Linked DNA regions of Arabidopsis thaliana. The protein of the gene in region 2 interacts with the protein of the main gene of each other region in a biochemical or structural test. Each region holds a gene or a part of one and is shown on either strand. Other genes may lie near its edges.

Region 1 (6,318 bases), on a different chromosome or scaffold from region 2:
AGAGTAATCCAAAGAAGGATTTAGGATTTTAGGGAGAAAGAAGAGGACAAAGAAGGAGAATTATGGGATTAGAAGTGAAAATTGTAACCACAAGAGTTACTTGTGGACCAGTGTGAGCCAACCATGTCCTAAGTTTTCTTTCTATTTCGATTCTCTGGTCATTATAGTATTGGCCCCACTCTTTCCCTTAATATCAATTTGGTTCAATCCATATATTTTGGTATTGCGATTTTTATTCTTATTTTAAATTGAAGGACCAACACTTATATATAAAGAATATACACCAATCTATTTATTATTAATTAGATTTAATTTGGAAATCCATAAAATTTAATACAGTAAAATCTCTATAAATTAATAATGTTGAGACCACAAAATTCTATTAATTTATAAAGGTATTAATTTATCGATAAATTAATATTTATTAATTTACAGAGAGATTTTCCAAAAGTGGTAATTTTTTTTTTAATTTCTATAAAAATTTAAGATTCATTCCATTATCTAAAATATATTTTTAGAACCAATTACAAATAGAAATAATTATCATGTCTAGAAAACAACAAGAAAAGTTTTTGATAGAGTAAAAATATTAAAATGAAATAAAAAAAAACTTATACAAATTTAAGTAAAAAAAAAACAATATTAAAATTATATTTCTCTGTAATTTATGATATTAATGGGACCCTATGTTTATATAAGATTTTCAAAAAAACTATTATCTTATTAATTTATCGATTTGTATCACTTTTTACAGTGGTTCCAACTCGGGACCGAAAAAATTTATTAATTTATAGAGATTATTAATTTATCGAGTATTAATTTATAGAGGTTTTACTGTATGTATCAAAATTTCGTGTGTTGAGATTTAATACTGATCTTAAAATGAGATTCAGTTCGAGATAGGCTGATTAGAGCCATCATCTTGAAGGTATATATTAAGATTCCATATTGTAAGTTTGAAGTAATCAACACTAGTATATATGAGACATAAACGTTGGTTGAGAATTGAATCGATGAAATTTAGTTTTGTTTGGATTTTGATTTGACTGGTTAAGGTCTTATGTACATTTTTCGGAGGATTGATTTCAAAAAAAACTAATGTAATAATTTTATATAATTGCTTAATATACTTTTGGTTTAGGATCAAATTTCTGGTTAACTCTGATTTAGTTTTGAGGTACTGAAAACCTATATTATGTCAATTTGGAGATATATTACAGTTAACCAGATATAACATTAGTAGTTTGATATATCTCCAAGTTGACATAATATAGCTTTTATTCACATGAACATATTTGTTTGATTCAACTTGTTTTACTTCTCTTACAACTATATAATGTTTTATACAAACGATTATTTACATAAGATTACACTTAAAACTCATAATTTTATATTGGCTAAACATATATATTGCTTAATCTCCAAATGACATTATCATTCTCCTTTTTTGAAATCATACGAATCAATGTAAGGTGAAAGTTAGTGAAAACAATATTTTGCATTTTTTGGTGAAACCATAAAGATAGTATTTGTTGATAAATATGGGGATATTTATCCTATATTATCTGTATTTTTCTTACCATTTTTACTCTATTCCTTTATCTACATTACGTCATTACACTATCATAAGATATTTGAATGAACAAATTCATGCACCCACCAGCTATATTACCCTTTTTTATTAAAAAAAAACATCTGATAATAATAACAAAAAAATTAGAGAAATGACGTCGAAAAAAAAAGTAAGAACGAAGAAGAAGTGTTAAACCCAACCAATTTTGACTTGAAAAAAAGCTTCAACGCTCCCCTTTTCTCCTTCTCCGTCGCTCTCCGCCGCGTCCCAAATCCCCAATTCCTCCTCTTCTCCGATCAATTCTTCCCAAGTAAGCTTCTTCTTCCTCGATTCTCTCCTCAGATTGTTTCGTGACTTCTTTATATATATTCTTCACTTCCACAGTTTTCTTCTGTTGTTGTCGTCGATCTCAAATCATAGAGATTGATTAACCTAATTGGTCTTTATCTAGTGTAATGCATCGTTATTAGGAACTTTAAATTAAGATTTAATCGTTAATTTCATGATTCGGATTCGAATTTTACTGTTCTCGAGACTGAAATATGCAACCTATTTTTTCGTAATCGTTGTGATCGAATTCGATTCTTCAGAATTTATAGCAATTTTGATGCTCATGATCTGTCTACGCTACGTTCTCGTCGTAAATCGAAGTTGATAATGCTATGTGTTTGTTACACAGGTGTGTGTATGTGTGAGAGAGGAACTATAGTGTAAAAAATTCATAATGGAAGTCTGCAATTGTATTGAACCGCAATGGCCAGCGGATGAATTGTTAATGAAATACCAATACATCTCCGATTTCTTCATTGCGATTGCGTATTTTTCGATTCCTCTTGAGTTGATTTACTTTGTGAAGAAATCAGCCGTGTTTCCGTATAGATGGGTACTTGTTCAGTTTGGTGCTTTTATCGTTCTTTGTGGAGCAACTCATCTTATTAACTTATGGACTTTCACTACGCATTCGAGAACCGTGGCGCTTGTGATGACTACCGCGAAGGTGTTAACCGCTGTTGTCTCGTGTGCTACTGCGTTGATGCTTGTTCATATTATTCCTGATCTTTTGAGTGTTAAGACTCGGGAGCTTTTCTTGAAAAATAAAGCTGCTGAGCTCGATAGAGAAATGGGATTGATTCGAACTCAGGAAGAAACCGGAAGGCATGTGAGAATGTTGACTCATGAGATTAGAAGCACTTTAGATAGACATACTATTTTAAAGACTACACTTGTTGAGCTTGGTAGGACATTAGCTTTGGAGGAGTGTGCATTGTGGATGCCTACTAGAACTGGGTTAGAGCTACAGCTTTCTTATACACTTCGTCATCAACATCCCGTGGAGTATACGGTTCCTATTCAATTACCGGTGATTAACCAAGTGTTTGGTACTAGTAGGGCTGTAAAAATATCTCCTAATTCTCCTGTGGCTAGGTTGAGACCTGTTTCTGGGAAATATATGCTAGGGGAGGTGGTCGCTGTGAGGGTTCCGCTTCTCCACCTTTCTAATTTTCAGATTAATGACTGGCCTGAGCTTTCAACAAAGAGATATGCTTTGATGGTTTTGATGCTTCCTTCAGATAGTGCAAGGCAATGGCATGTCCATGAGTTGGAACTCGTTGAAGTCGTCGCTGATCAGGTTTTACATTGCTGAGAATTTCTCTTCTTTGCTATGTTCATGATCTTGTCTATAACTTTTCTTCTCTTATTATAGGTGGCTGTAGCTCTCTCACATGCTGCGATCCTAGAAGAGTCGATGCGAGCTAGGGACCTTCTCATGGAGCAGAATGTTGCTCTTGATCTAGCTAGACGAGAAGCAGAAACAGCAATCCGTGCCCGCAATGATTTCCTAGCGGTTATGAACCATGAAATGCGAACACCGATGCATGCGATTATTGCACTCTCTTCCTTACTCCAAGAAACGGAACTAACCCCTGAACAAAGACTGATGGTGGAAACAATACTTAAAAGTAGTAACCTTTTGGCAACTTTGATGAATGATGTCTTAGATCTTTCAAGGTTAGAAGATGGAAGTCTTCAACTTGAACTTGGGACATTCAATCTTCATACATTATTTAGAGAGGTAACTTTTGAACAGCTCTATGTTTCATAAGTTTATACTATTTGTGTACTTGATTGTCATATTGAATCTTGTTGCAGGTCCTCAATCTGATAAAGCCTATAGCGGTTGTTAAGAAATTACCCATCACACTAAATCTTGCACCAGATTTGCCAGAATTTGTTGTTGGGGATGAGAAACGGCTAATGCAGATAATATTAAATATAGTTGGTAATGCTGTGAAATTCTCCAAACAAGGTAGTATCTCCGTAACCGCTCTTGTCACCAAGTCAGACACACGAGCTGCTGACTTTTTTGTCGTGCCAACTGGGAGTCATTTCTACTTGAGAGTGAAGGTTATTATCTTGTATCTTGGGATCTTATACCATAGCTGAAAGTATTTCTTAGGTCTTAATTTTGATGATTATTCAAATATAGGTAAAAGACTCTGGAGCAGGAATAAATCCTCAAGACATTCCAAAGATTTTCACTAAATTTGCTCAAACACAATCTTTAGCGACGAGAAGCTCGGGTGGTAGTGGGCTTGGCCTCGCCATCTCCAAGAGGTTTGAGCCTTATTAAAAGACGTTTTTTTCCAACTTTTTCTTGTCTTCTGTGTTGTTAAAAGTTTACTCATAAGCGTTTAATATGACAAGGTTTGTGAATCTGATGGAGGGTAACATTTGGATTGAGAGCGATGGTCTTGGAAAAGGATGCACGGCTATCTTTGATGTTAAACTTGGGATCTCAGAACGTTCAAACGAATCTAAACAGTCGGGCATACCGAAAGTTCCAGCCATTCCCCGACATTCAAATTTCACTGGACTTAAGGTTCTTGTCATGGATGAGAACGGGTTAGTATAAGCTTCTCACCTTTCTCTTTGCAAAATCTCTCGCCTTACTTCTTGCAAATGCAGATATTGGCGTTTAGAAAAAACGCAAATTTAATCTTATGAGAAACCGATGATTATTTTGGTTGCAGGGTAAGTAGAATGGTGACGAAGGGACTTCTTGTACACCTTGGGTGCGAAGTGACCACGGTGAGTTCAAACGAGGAGTGTCTCCGAGTTGTGTCCCATGAGCACAAAGTGGTCTTCATGGACGTGTGCATGCCCGGGGTCGAAAACTACCAAATCGCTCTCCGTATTCACGAGAAATTCACAAAACAACGCCACCAACGGCCACTACTTGTGGCACTCAGTGGTAACACTGACAAATCCACAAAAGAGAAATGCATGAGCTTTGGTCTAGACGGTGTGTTGCTCAAACCCGTATCACTAGACAACATAAGAGATGTTCTGTCTGATCTTCTCGAGCCCCGGGTACTGTACGAGGGCATGTAAAGGCGATGGATGCCCCATGCCCCAGAGGAGTAATTCCGCTCCCGCCTTCTTCTCCCGTAAAACATCGGAAGCTGATGTTCTCTGGTTTAATTGTGTACATATCAGAGATTGTCGGAGCGTTTTGGATGATATCTTAAAACAGAAAGGGAATAACAAAATAGAAACTCTAAACCGGTATGTGTCCGTGGCGATTTCGGTTATAGAGGAACAAGATGGTGGTGGTATAATCATACCATTTCAGATTACATGTTTGACTAATGTTGTATCCTTATATATGTAGTTACATTCTTATAAGAATTTGGATCGAGTTATGGATGCTTGTTGCGTGCATGTATGACATTGATGCAGTATTATGGCGTCAGCTTTGCGCCGCTTAGTAGAACAACAACAATGGCGTTACTTAGTTTCTCAATCAACCCGATCTCCAAAACTCATCCATGGCTTCTTCTCCTTCTCCTCCAAAACTAATCCAAATCCAAACAAACAACAACAAATCCTCATCGACTACATCTCCAAATCCCTCCAATCCAACGATACCTGGGAAACTCTCTCCACCAAATTCTCCTCCATAGATCTATCAGATTCCTTAATCGAAACAATCCTTCTCCGATTCAAAAACCCCGAAACCGCCAAACAAGCTTTATCCTTCTTCCATTGGTCATCCCACACTCGAAATCTCCGTCACGGAATCAAATCTTACGCATTGACGATTCATATCCTTGTCAAAGCTCGATTACTAATCGACGCTCGAGCTTTAATTGAATCGTCTCTGTTAAATTCTCCTCCCGATTCGGATTTAGTCGATTCGTTGTTAGATACTTATGAGATCTCATCTTCTACTCCTTTAGTGTTTGATTTGTTAGTTCAATGTTACGCTAAGATTAGGTATTTGGAATTAGGGTTTGATGTGTTCAAGAGATTGTGTGATTGTGGATTTACTCTTAGTGTGATTACTTTAAACACGTTGATTCATTACTCTTCGAAATCGAAGATTGATGATCTTGTGTGGAGGATTTACGAATGTGCGATTGATAAAAGGATTTATCCGAACGAGATTACGATTCGGATAATGATTCAAGTGTTGTGTAAAGAAGGGAGATTGAAAGAAGTTGTTGATTTGTTAGATAGGATTTGTGGTAAGAGATGTTTACCTTCAGTGATTGTGAATACGAGTTTAGTGTTTAGGGTTTTGGAAGAGATGAGAATAGAGGAGAGTATGAGTTTGTTGAAGAGATTGTTGATGAAGAATATGGTTGTTGATACTATTGGTTATTCGATTGTTGTTTATGCGAAAGCTAAGGAAGGTGATTTGGTGTCTGCACGGAAGGTGTTTGATGAAATGCTTCAACGAG
Region 2 (9,771 bases):
AAAGCATACAAATCAGTAATTCTGCAACAAAATCCCCAAATGAAACCTCTATCGGAGTTAAAACCTAGCGAGAGAGAAAACTTTTCAGTTTTCCCCAATTTTCTACGAAGACGAACAGTCCATACCCTAGATTGTCACATATACTCACTATTCCCGTTTCTCGTTTAGCTAAACAGAAGATTCCATAGAAAAAACAGTAGAAAAACATGGCAAAACGAAAAAAAGCGATGAAACCAGAAGCTAAAAAAAAACTAAATGCAGGAAATGAAGCGCAGAGAACGAAGAAGAAGAAGGAGTAAGATAGGAGATGTTTTTTACCCCAGAACTCCATTGTTGTGCGAGGTAGTGTGATCTTGAAGGCGACGATGCGTCGAAGGAGAAGGAGAAGGTTCTAGAAGAAGCTGAGAGCGATTCGTCTCTCGAGAGCGGTTTTAGGGCGTGTTGATGTGAGAAGGCTAAAATGTCCGCTGGAATTTATTAATCGGAGGAAGGGATTTTAGGGATCCTCTGTTACGCGGTCCACTCGAATATCTCCTTTAGTTGGGCCATGATTTTAAAATTAGCCCAACAAAACTAACGTTTCAAGCCCATACTTTATTTTGACGGCTTTTTTTAACGGTGTCAGGACGGATCGTAACGGACTTTTAACACTTTATTTGACTGACGGAGTTTTCGTCAACATGTGGGGTCTATATATTCATGTCTTCATGACAATATCTATCTCCATTCCTCAAAATAAGTCCCACGGATAAATTGAGCATAATGTATCGCAAAGTTTTAATTTTTTTCTAATCCAAAGAAAAACCAGTTAACAAAATCTGTGAAGAGTTTATATGATAAAACTAAGTACGGTCCCCGACTACGAATAATTAAAATTATTAAATGGATAGTTGCACGAGTGAGAATTAAGGAACACTATTATTATATTAAACACAATTCATTTTAGTTAGATCTATTCGGGGCCTCTCGTGTTTAGATTTAGAAGAGTTCTCGGCATGAATCATGAACATTTTCCAATGCTCTTAAATTTATAGTTTACCAATATTATACTCCGGTTTTACATATCACACATAATTTCGATTTTTTTCAACATATGTGATCATAATCAATTGTTAAGTTTTAATTTATGCGCATAAAAAAATATATGTTTGTATAGTAGTTAAGGAGAATTTTTTTTTGTTATGTTTTAGCACTTTTTGGATTAATACTAGTTTTAAAAGTATGATTTTTTTTTTATTTTTTTTTGTGCACAAATATGATCAAACCCAAAAGTTTCTTTACATAGTAGCAACTTTATATTCTCAGCAGCCATGGCTAAAAAACGTAAGTTAATGACAAAAATGCGTTGAGTGCAATGAACCTGGCAGTATTCGATGAACCTTAGCGGATCAAATGATATAAATATGCAATAGAATTTAAATATTTATTTATTGTCCAAGCTGCGTGGATAGCTTGATAGATAAATTAATGACAGCACATTGACTACCCAAGCTGCGTTGATAAGTACTTGATCAAAATCTTTACATTTTTATGAAGTACTATAATCCAAAGTTAACTTTTAAGCAAAAGATAATTTTTTGTAATGGTTGTGAAAAATTCACTTATAATAACACGAAACATAATGAAGTATTATTAGTTCATTTATATATAATACACAAAAAACATAAAGGCAATAAAAATAACCAAATTAAAAAAAAATGGAGAAGTAGAAAAGAAAACGAAAAAAAAAAAAAAAGAGAGAGATAAGATGCATGCATGGTATAGAAGTCGCAGGCCGAAGACCAGAAATACGAATGTGTTTGAATAGACAAATTAAGGAATATAAAGACAGAAGAGCCCATCCATTTTCGCATACACGAATACATCCCCCTCGACTCCAATTATTTTATTATAGTCCATTCTCTCACTTTCTATTCTAAATATTGTGGACGTTATAAAGGCTTTTTATTTATTTTATGTCGAGTTTTTTAGACTACGTAGAGCCGAATGAAAATTTCATGTTTAGGTATACGAAACTTGGATCCAATGTTACGGATTCAGATTGGTGTAAAAGATCAAATTTGATAGTATTTGGATTTGATAGGCAAGATGGTTTAGTATTTTACACTGTGTATGTTCCTCTTTTAGCTTTGCGTTTTCTACTTTCACTACGATACTACTTTTTATCTTCCAATTTCAGTTGCTTATCACCAAAATATGAAATACCAAATTAATTGTTTAAACAGTTTTATTAGCGATTAAATTAGCACAAAACATATGAATAGATATCATAGTCGAATACAAAAATTAGACAAATAATAATACACTAAAAAACAAACTAAATTGGAGAATTGTTTTGACAAAAAATAAAAAAAATGTCAAAGTTCCATAAAAAGGAGGACAAAAGAGGAATATAACGAAATTATCAACAGAAACGCACCGAGTAAGTTTATTTCCTATGATAACGCAAAAACAAAAAAAAAATCCAATTCCATTAGAGAGAGAGAGAGAGAGAGAGAGAGAGAGAGACTTTTTTAAAAAGTACAAAAAAAAAATGAAAAACTAGAGAGAGAAACAAGTGGCTAGCTAGCTCGCCAAACTTCTTCAACAATGGCGGTTTCCTAGGGTTTGATGTTTATATGATCGGGAAACTCTCTCATCTAGATCGCGATAACTCTCTTTTCCATGGAAATGCCCGGTAGAAGATCTAATTACACTTTGCTTAGTCAATTTTCTGACGATCAGGTGTCAGTTTCCGTCACCGGAGCTCCTCCGCCTCACTATGATTCCTTGTCGAGCGAAAACAGGAGCAACCATAACAGCGGGAACACCGGGAAAGCTAAGGCGGAGAGAGGCGGATTTGATTGGGATCCTAGCGGTGGTGGTGGTGGTGATCATAGGTTGAATAATCAACCGAATCGGGTTGGGAATAATATGTATGCTTCGTCTCTAGGGTTGCAAAGGCAATCCAGTGGGAGTAGTTTCGGTGAGAGCTCTTTGTCTGGGGATTATTACATGCCTACGCTTTCTGCGGCGGCTAACGAGATCGAATCTGTTGGATTTCCTCAAGATGATGGGTTTAGGCTTGGATTTGGTGGTGGTGGAGGAGATTTGAGGATACAGATGGCGGCGGACTCCGCTGGAGGGTCTTCATCTGGGAAGAGCTGGGCGCAGCAGACGGAGGAGAGTTATCAGCTGCAGCTTGCATTGGCGTTAAGGCTTTCGTCGGAGGCTACTTGTGCCGACGATCCGAACTTTCTGGATCCTGTACCGGACGAGTCTGCTTTACGGACTTCGCCAAGTTCAGCCGAAACCGTTTCACATCGTTTCTGGGTATTTGTTCCTGTTAAGCTTTGTTTCCCAAAATTATTGAATCGTGGTTATAGAGATATGGTCCTCTTGTTTCCGAAGTTTCAGTTAGATCTCCTTACCAAAAGTCTATTAGTAGCAAATGAGATATGTTGTTTAGATACATTGCAGAGTATGATTGTTTTGTGTGCTGCATCAGGTTAATGGCTGCTTATCGTACTATGATAAAGTTCCTGATGGGTTTTATATGATGAATGGTCTGGATCCCTATATTTGGACCTTATGCATCGACCTGCATGAAAGTGGTCGCATCCCTTCAATTGAATCATTAAGAGCTGTTGATTCTGGTGTTGATTCTTCGCTTGAAGCGATCATAGTTGATAGGCGTAGTGATCCAGCCTTCAAGGAACTTCACAATAGAGTCCACGACATATCTTGTAGCTGCATTACCACAAAAGAGGTTGTTGATCAGCTGGCAAAGCTTATCTGCAATCGTATGGGGTTTGTACTCATACAATCCTTACTATCCCTTTGAACTTATATTTTTATATCTTCCTGTGATTTCTCACATTGTACTCGTTAATTCTTGCTTCCCCAGGGGTCCAGTTATCATGGGGGAAGATGAGTTGGTTCCCATGTGGAAGGAGTGCATTGATGGTCTAAAAGAAATCTTTAAAGTGGTGGTTCCCATAGGTAGCCTCTCTGTTGGACTCTGCAGACATCGAGCTTTACTCTTCAAAGTGAGATCCCAACTTTGATGCTATCCCCATGACATTTAAGACATCTTGTGAAATGATCATATAAATTATTGTGCTTCATCCATTTGTTTTTATTGGAATACATATGAAGAACGTTGAATGTGAAAAGTGGTGTTATTGATTAGAAAAAAATAGGTTACTGATAGTTGAATGTTCCAAAGAAAAAAAGTATTTTATATCTTCTATTTGGTGCATGCAGGTACTGGCTGACATAATTGATTTACCCTGTCGAATTGCCAAAGGATGTAAATATTGTAATAGAGACGATGCCGCTTCGTGCCTTGTCAGGTTTGGGCTTGATAGGTATGATACAAGTGATTGCGAAAGAGCCTTTATTTTCCTATTTTCTTTGCTTTTTGTTTCTGGAAAAACAATTATAGCTCCAAATGTTTCGCAGAATATTAGGTTGATGACGTGGAAAATTTGTTTTGGTTTCAGGGAGTACCTGGTTGATTTAGTAGGAAAGCCAGGTCACTTATGGGAGCCTGATTCCTTGCTAAATGGTCCTTCATCTATCTCAATTTCTTCTCCTCTGCGGTTTCCACGACCAAAGCCAGTTGAACCCGCAGTCGATTTTAGGTTACTAGCCAAACAATATTTCTCCGATAGCCAGTCTCTTAATCTTGTTTTCGATCCTGCATCAGGTATTCCCATACAAAAAACCTGAATAATATGTTAACTTTTTGCATGCTGCTTACATCTCGTTTTGTATTTCCCCTAAAAGAGTAATCTCCTATCATTTAGGGTATTTCTTGATCATGTCTCAGTATCTGAAGTGTTAGTAGTCTTAGAATGATTCTATTGTTTGTTTTCTTGTCTCTTTTCACTTTAGTTGTTTTTGGCTGTTGATGTGTATGTTTGTTGGTGGGTTCTTTGCCTAATGATATTTAAGGTTAAACTTGTTAGTCTGCTGTTCAAGCTTATGAATTCTAGTGCATTTATGTGCAAGACTTGTCTTCTGGACTCTAATTTCTTATATCTGCTTGTTTGAATGGTTGTAGATGATATGGGATTCTCAATGTTTCATAGGCAATATGATAATCCGGGTGGAGAGAATGACGCATTGGCAGAAAATGGTGGTGGGTCTTTGCCACCCAGTGCTAATATGCCTCCACAGAACATGATGCGTGCGTCAAATCAAATTGAAGCAGCACCTATGAATGCCCCACCAATCAGTCAGCCAGTTCCAAACAGGGCAAATAGGGAACTTGGACTTGATGGTGATGATATGGACATCCCGTGGTGTGATCTTAATATAAAAGAAAAGATTGGAGCAGGTAATAATTTTACGGAAAAATTAATGATTCGGTCTAAAAATGCAAAGAAATATGAAATTCTTGAGGAAGTGGTTTTGCTTTGGACTCTGTTCTCGAACAAAATAAGGAAAAAGTGCCACCCATTTTGAGATTACATTCTTCTCTGTTGCCTTTAATTCTTCCACTCTAATTTGAGCGACTGCTCTTTCAGGTTCCTTTGGCACTGTCCACCGTGCTGAGTGGCATGGCTCGGTAAGAACTTTTTTGTCAGAATTTACGCAGCTGAATTTTTTTTCGCTCTAAAAATTTGGTTGTGACTTTTGGATCTGCTTGGTATTATAAAAGGCAAAGTTATTGTATATGTGACTCTCCGTTCTGTCAGAAATTAAACACGGACAAAAGGTGTCCCATTTTAGATGTATATGTGTCTTTATATCATAAATTTGTCTTCCTGTTTGAATTTTACAATTCTATCACTAGAAGAATTCTAATTTTGATTATTGCAGTAATATTCTCTATCAATTTCAGGATGTTGCTGTGAAAATTCTCATGGAGCAAGACTTCCATGCTGAGCGTGTTAATGAGTTCTTAAGAGAGGTGCACAAATAAAATTTTCTCTTGATTTTGGTAATGAACTTGTTGTATTAATGTCTCCAATGATCTTGATTCGCTGTCAGGTTGCGATAATGAAACGCCTTCGCCACCCTAACATTGTTCTCTTCATGGGTGCGGTCACTCAACCTCCAAATTTGTCAATAGTGACAGAATATTTGTCAAGGTACAATTACTTGGATTTGGAAGGTTTGATGTACTGAGTGTAGAATTTTGGCCTATAATGACTCTAATACCATGATTTCTTTCAAACAGAGGTAGTTTATACAGACTTTTGCATAAAAGTGGAGCAAGGGAGCAATTAGATGAGAGACGTCGCCTGAGTATGGCTTATGATGTGGTATGTTTAATTCCTTATGTTACATGTATGGGTGATTACTTCCTGATCTTGGTGTTTCTTCACATGGAACTTTCTTTCCAATTCTCTGTCACAGGCTAAGGGAATGAATTATCTTCACAATCGCAATCCTCCAATTGTGCATAGAGATCTAAAATCTCCAAACTTATTGGTTGACAAAAAATATACAGTCAAGGTTTGAATCTAAATTAGAAATTGTTGTGTCCAATGTTTTGATTTTGATATTTTATTCCTCTTGTGAGACAAGCTTATATATAAATTATGATTTTTAATTCTAAATTGGTTTGGAGACATTACAAAAAGGCGTTAATCTGCTGAAACTTAAAAGATACAGCAGCCTCAAGCTGTCGTCTTAAAAACAATCAGAACATTATTATTCTAACTCCTCAATTTGTCTTGAAATTTCAGGTTTGTGATTTTGGTCTCTCGCGATTGAAGGCCAGCACGTTTCTTTCCTCGAAGTCAGCAGCTGGAACCGTAAGTTCAGTTTGTTTGAAACTAAAACACGCTGAACAACGTAACTTTCTTCTAGGTCCTATTTCCAATGGAAGCTAAATAATTACTGACTTTGATATATCAGCCCGAGTGGATGGCACCAGAAGTCCTGCGAGATGAGCCGTCTAATGAAAAGTCAGATGTGTACAGCTTCGGGGTCATCTTGTGGGAGCTTGCTACATTGCAACAACCATGGGGTAACTTAAATCCGGCTCAGGTACTTTCCACTCTAAACATCTCAAATAATAATGATATTATTTTGCATTTGGAAGTCCCTCACTCTACATTTCATAACATGCTATATATGATCATACAAAAAAATGTTCCATAGGTTGTAGCTGCGGTTGGTTTCAAGTGTAAACGGCTGGAGATCCCGCGTAATCTGAATCCTCAGGTTGCAGCCATAATCGAGGGTTGTTGGACCAAGTACGTTAAGATTTTCTATCTCTTTTTTGAATTCTTCTTGAATAGACTTCATGTTTATGTATGTGTTTCATTACCAGTGAGCCATGGAAGCGTCCATCATTTGCAACTATAATGGACTTGCTAAGACCATTGATCAAATCAGCGGTTCCTCCGCCCAACCGCTCGGATTTGTAAAATACCCCCGGTCCATTCAAAAGTTGTTATAATCATGATATGCACATATACTCTCAGCATTCTTTTGCTGCCCAGGAGGGAGACACTAGTTAAGATATAGCTTTAAAGGTACATTCCTCATGAGCTATCAATCATATCCTACAGAATCCCATGGTTTTTATACATGTATTATTTTTGCGATCTTTGTCTGCTGTTTTGTTCCCTTTTTAATGTTGCAGATTGTTAAAATGTACATGACTATTGTCACAGGGAGGAAAAAAAAATGTAGTAATGGAAACAATGTGAGGGATATAATCTATCTATCTAGTCCCAAAGGGTAAGCAATATTTTGTTGTTATGTCTTTGTAGCAATGCACTGAAAGCTATATTTAATTACATTGCTGTACATTTATACCGCTAAATTAGTTACTAAGCGAAGGTAAAAAAGAGCAGCTGGTAAATGCTGTCAAAGGGTTTTGCAAACTCAATATGATTCATTGGATTTACATTTGTTCACTGTGCGATTAGTCTGGACTATAAACCAACAGAAATGAAATAAGACTGTAACTTTCGGAGACTCTAATACAGATGAATATAATCCCAAATCGTTAAAAACGCATTGGGACTGAAAATATCTAGATACATAGTCAACTATTTTTGCCTTCGCGTCTAAGTAAGTTCCCACACTTGAAAACGACTTTACCTGTCTTCCGAATTAATCGTTTGATGGATCGGTAACCAATAGGATTGCGTAAATCAAAATTATACAATATTAAATTCTGAAAAAGGAAACACGAAAAGCGAATCAGTGATTTGTGAGGGCCCAGTTCCAAATTAGAAAGCTGACCTGGCAAACGCGCTAAATCACTCCTCCTTTCAAAAATCTCAAGATGACGTGGGACCCACCATCGTCACCACTTTCTCTCCTTCACCAAATCACAGAGAGAGAGAGCTAAGTGAAGCTGCAAGGAAACAACTTTCAATTTCAATGTCGGTTGTACAATTATTTGTCACTAAAGTTTCCAAATTTCTTCTAAACTGATGAATCAATGGAACATGATGACGAAAAAGATAAATCCACGGTGGCGGGAACTGACCCACCCATTTCCACCGCCTCTCTATTCCCCAGATTTTTTTCAATTATCTGACTACAGTTTGTCGGTTACTTCCTTCCCTAAACCTTTATAAACCATTAAACCTCTCATCCTTCTTCTCTTAAACCCCCTAATTATCACACACACCCCAATTTCTCACTCTCTCTCTCACTAAAACCCGTAAATTTTCTACTATATCAAATGAGCCCAAAAAAAGATGCTGTTTCTAAACCAACTCCAATTTCAGTACCCGTTTCGAGACGATCCGATATACCCGGGTCTCTCTACGTCGACACTGACATGGGTTTCTCTGGGTCACCACTTCCCATGCCACTAGACATCTTACAAGGGAATCCAATTCCACCTTTTTTATCCAAGACTTTTGATTTGGTTGATGACCCGACTCTTGACCCGGTCATCTCTTGGGGACTGACCGGAGCTAGCTTCGTAGTTTGGGATCCTCTAGAGTTTGCCAGAATCATACTTCCAAGGAATTTCAAACACAACAATTTCTCCAGCTTCGTCAGACAGCTTAACACTTATGTAATCATCTCTCTTGCTCTGTTTCTGTTTTCTAGATAGACTCATTCTTCTTCTTCTTCTTCTTCTTTCAGTTTTGTTTTGTTTTTATGTTTCTGTAATCTTTTTGATGACCAAAACCATTTTGTATAGATTCTTGAAACTCGTTTTTTGATAACTTGTAAAAAATTACCTGTAATTTTCTTTTCTTTTTGGGATTTGTTTAATCTCTCTATCATGTAACACTGAGTTTTGTATCTATGAAATTTTGGCCTCGATTGGATCTTATAATAACTTCTCATCTGAAATAAGCTTGTAATCTTGTATACTTATGGTTTCGTTTGAATGGAGAATTTTGGTTTATGAAGTTTTGTTATTTTCTCACAATGTTAACTTCAGTCTGGTTTAAGACATCATTACTCACATGTTCTTCACACTTCAGAGGTAGAATCTTTCTAATATCTTGAGATATTTGGTCTTGTCTTGATGTAAATGTGTTTACTTACTTTATCTTGAGCTTGTTTGAGTTGTTTTTTTGGGGTTGGAATGTTTCCAGGGATTTCGAAAGATTGATACTGACAAGTGGGAATTCGCTAACGAGGCTTTCCTTAGAGGCAAGAAGCATCTTCTGAAGAACATTCATCGTCGTCGATCACCACAATCCAACCAAACTTGCTGCAGTAGCACTAGCCAAAGCCAAGGGTCACCTACTGAGGTTGGAGGAGAGATTGAGAAGCTGAGGAAAGAGCGGCGTGCATTGATGGAGGAAATGGTTGAGCTTCAGCAGCAAAGCAGAGGCACAGCTCGACATG

Evidence for each region. The genes of interacting proteins can lie anywhere in the genome.
Region 1: the proteins of CTR1 (region 2) and ETR1 form a complex in vitro, tested with the Arabidopsis thaliana proteins (2 studies listed by BioGRID).

The regions. Positions count from the first base shown.
Region 1 is NC_003070.9:24,732,401-24,738,718, forward strand, and holds ETR1 (Signal transduction histidine kinase, hybrid-type, ethylene sensor), read left to right. Parts: upstream 1-1,761; 5' UTR 1,762-1,883; intron 1,884-2,252; 5' UTR 2,253-2,297; coding exon 2,298-3,203; intron 3,204-3,278; coding exon 3,279-3,647; intron 3,648-3,724; coding exon 3,725-3,979; intron 3,980-4,061; coding exon 4,062-4,189; intron 4,190-4,279; coding exon 4,280-4,477; intron 4,478-4,605; coding exon 4,606-4,966; 3' UTR 4,967-5,318; downstream 5,319-6,318. Other genes in the region: AT1G66345 (Pentatricopeptide repeat (PPR) superfamily protein), read left to right, coding at 5,319-6,318. UniProt on the Arabidopsis thaliana protein: Ethylene receptor related to bacterial two-component regulators. Acts as a redundant negative regulator of ethylene signaling.
Region 2 is NC_003076.8:972,554-982,324, reverse strand, and holds CTR1 (Protein kinase superfamily protein), read left to right. Parts: upstream 1-2,475; 5' UTR 2,476-2,664; coding exon 2,665-3,312; intron 3,313-3,487; coding exon 3,488-3,789; intron 3,790-3,886; coding exon 3,887-4,028; intron 4,029-4,245; coding exon 4,246-4,349; intron 4,350-4,484; coding exon 4,485-4,690; intron 4,691-5,047; coding exon 5,048-5,323; intron 5,324-5,513; coding exon 5,514-5,554; intron 5,555-5,830; coding exon 5,831-5,899; intron 5,900-5,979; coding exon 5,980-6,080; intron 6,081-6,169; coding exon 6,170-6,254; intron 6,255-6,348; coding exon 6,349-6,447; intron 6,448-6,680; coding exon 6,681-6,749; intron 6,750-6,852; coding exon 6,853-6,984; intron 6,985-7,098; coding exon 7,099-7,193; intron 7,194-7,270; coding exon 7,271-7,367; 3' UTR 7,368-7,475; exon of another isoform or gene 7,476-7,616; 3' UTR 7,617-7,965; downstream 7,966-9,771. Other genes in the region: HD2C (histone deacetylase 2C), read right to left, coding at 319-331; HSFA3 (heat shock transcription factor A3), read left to right, coding at 8,642-8,983, 9,516-9,771. UniProt on the Arabidopsis thaliana protein: Acts as a negative regulator in the ethylene response pathway. Phosphorylates the cytosolic C-terminal domain of EIN2, preventing the signaling in the absence of ethylene.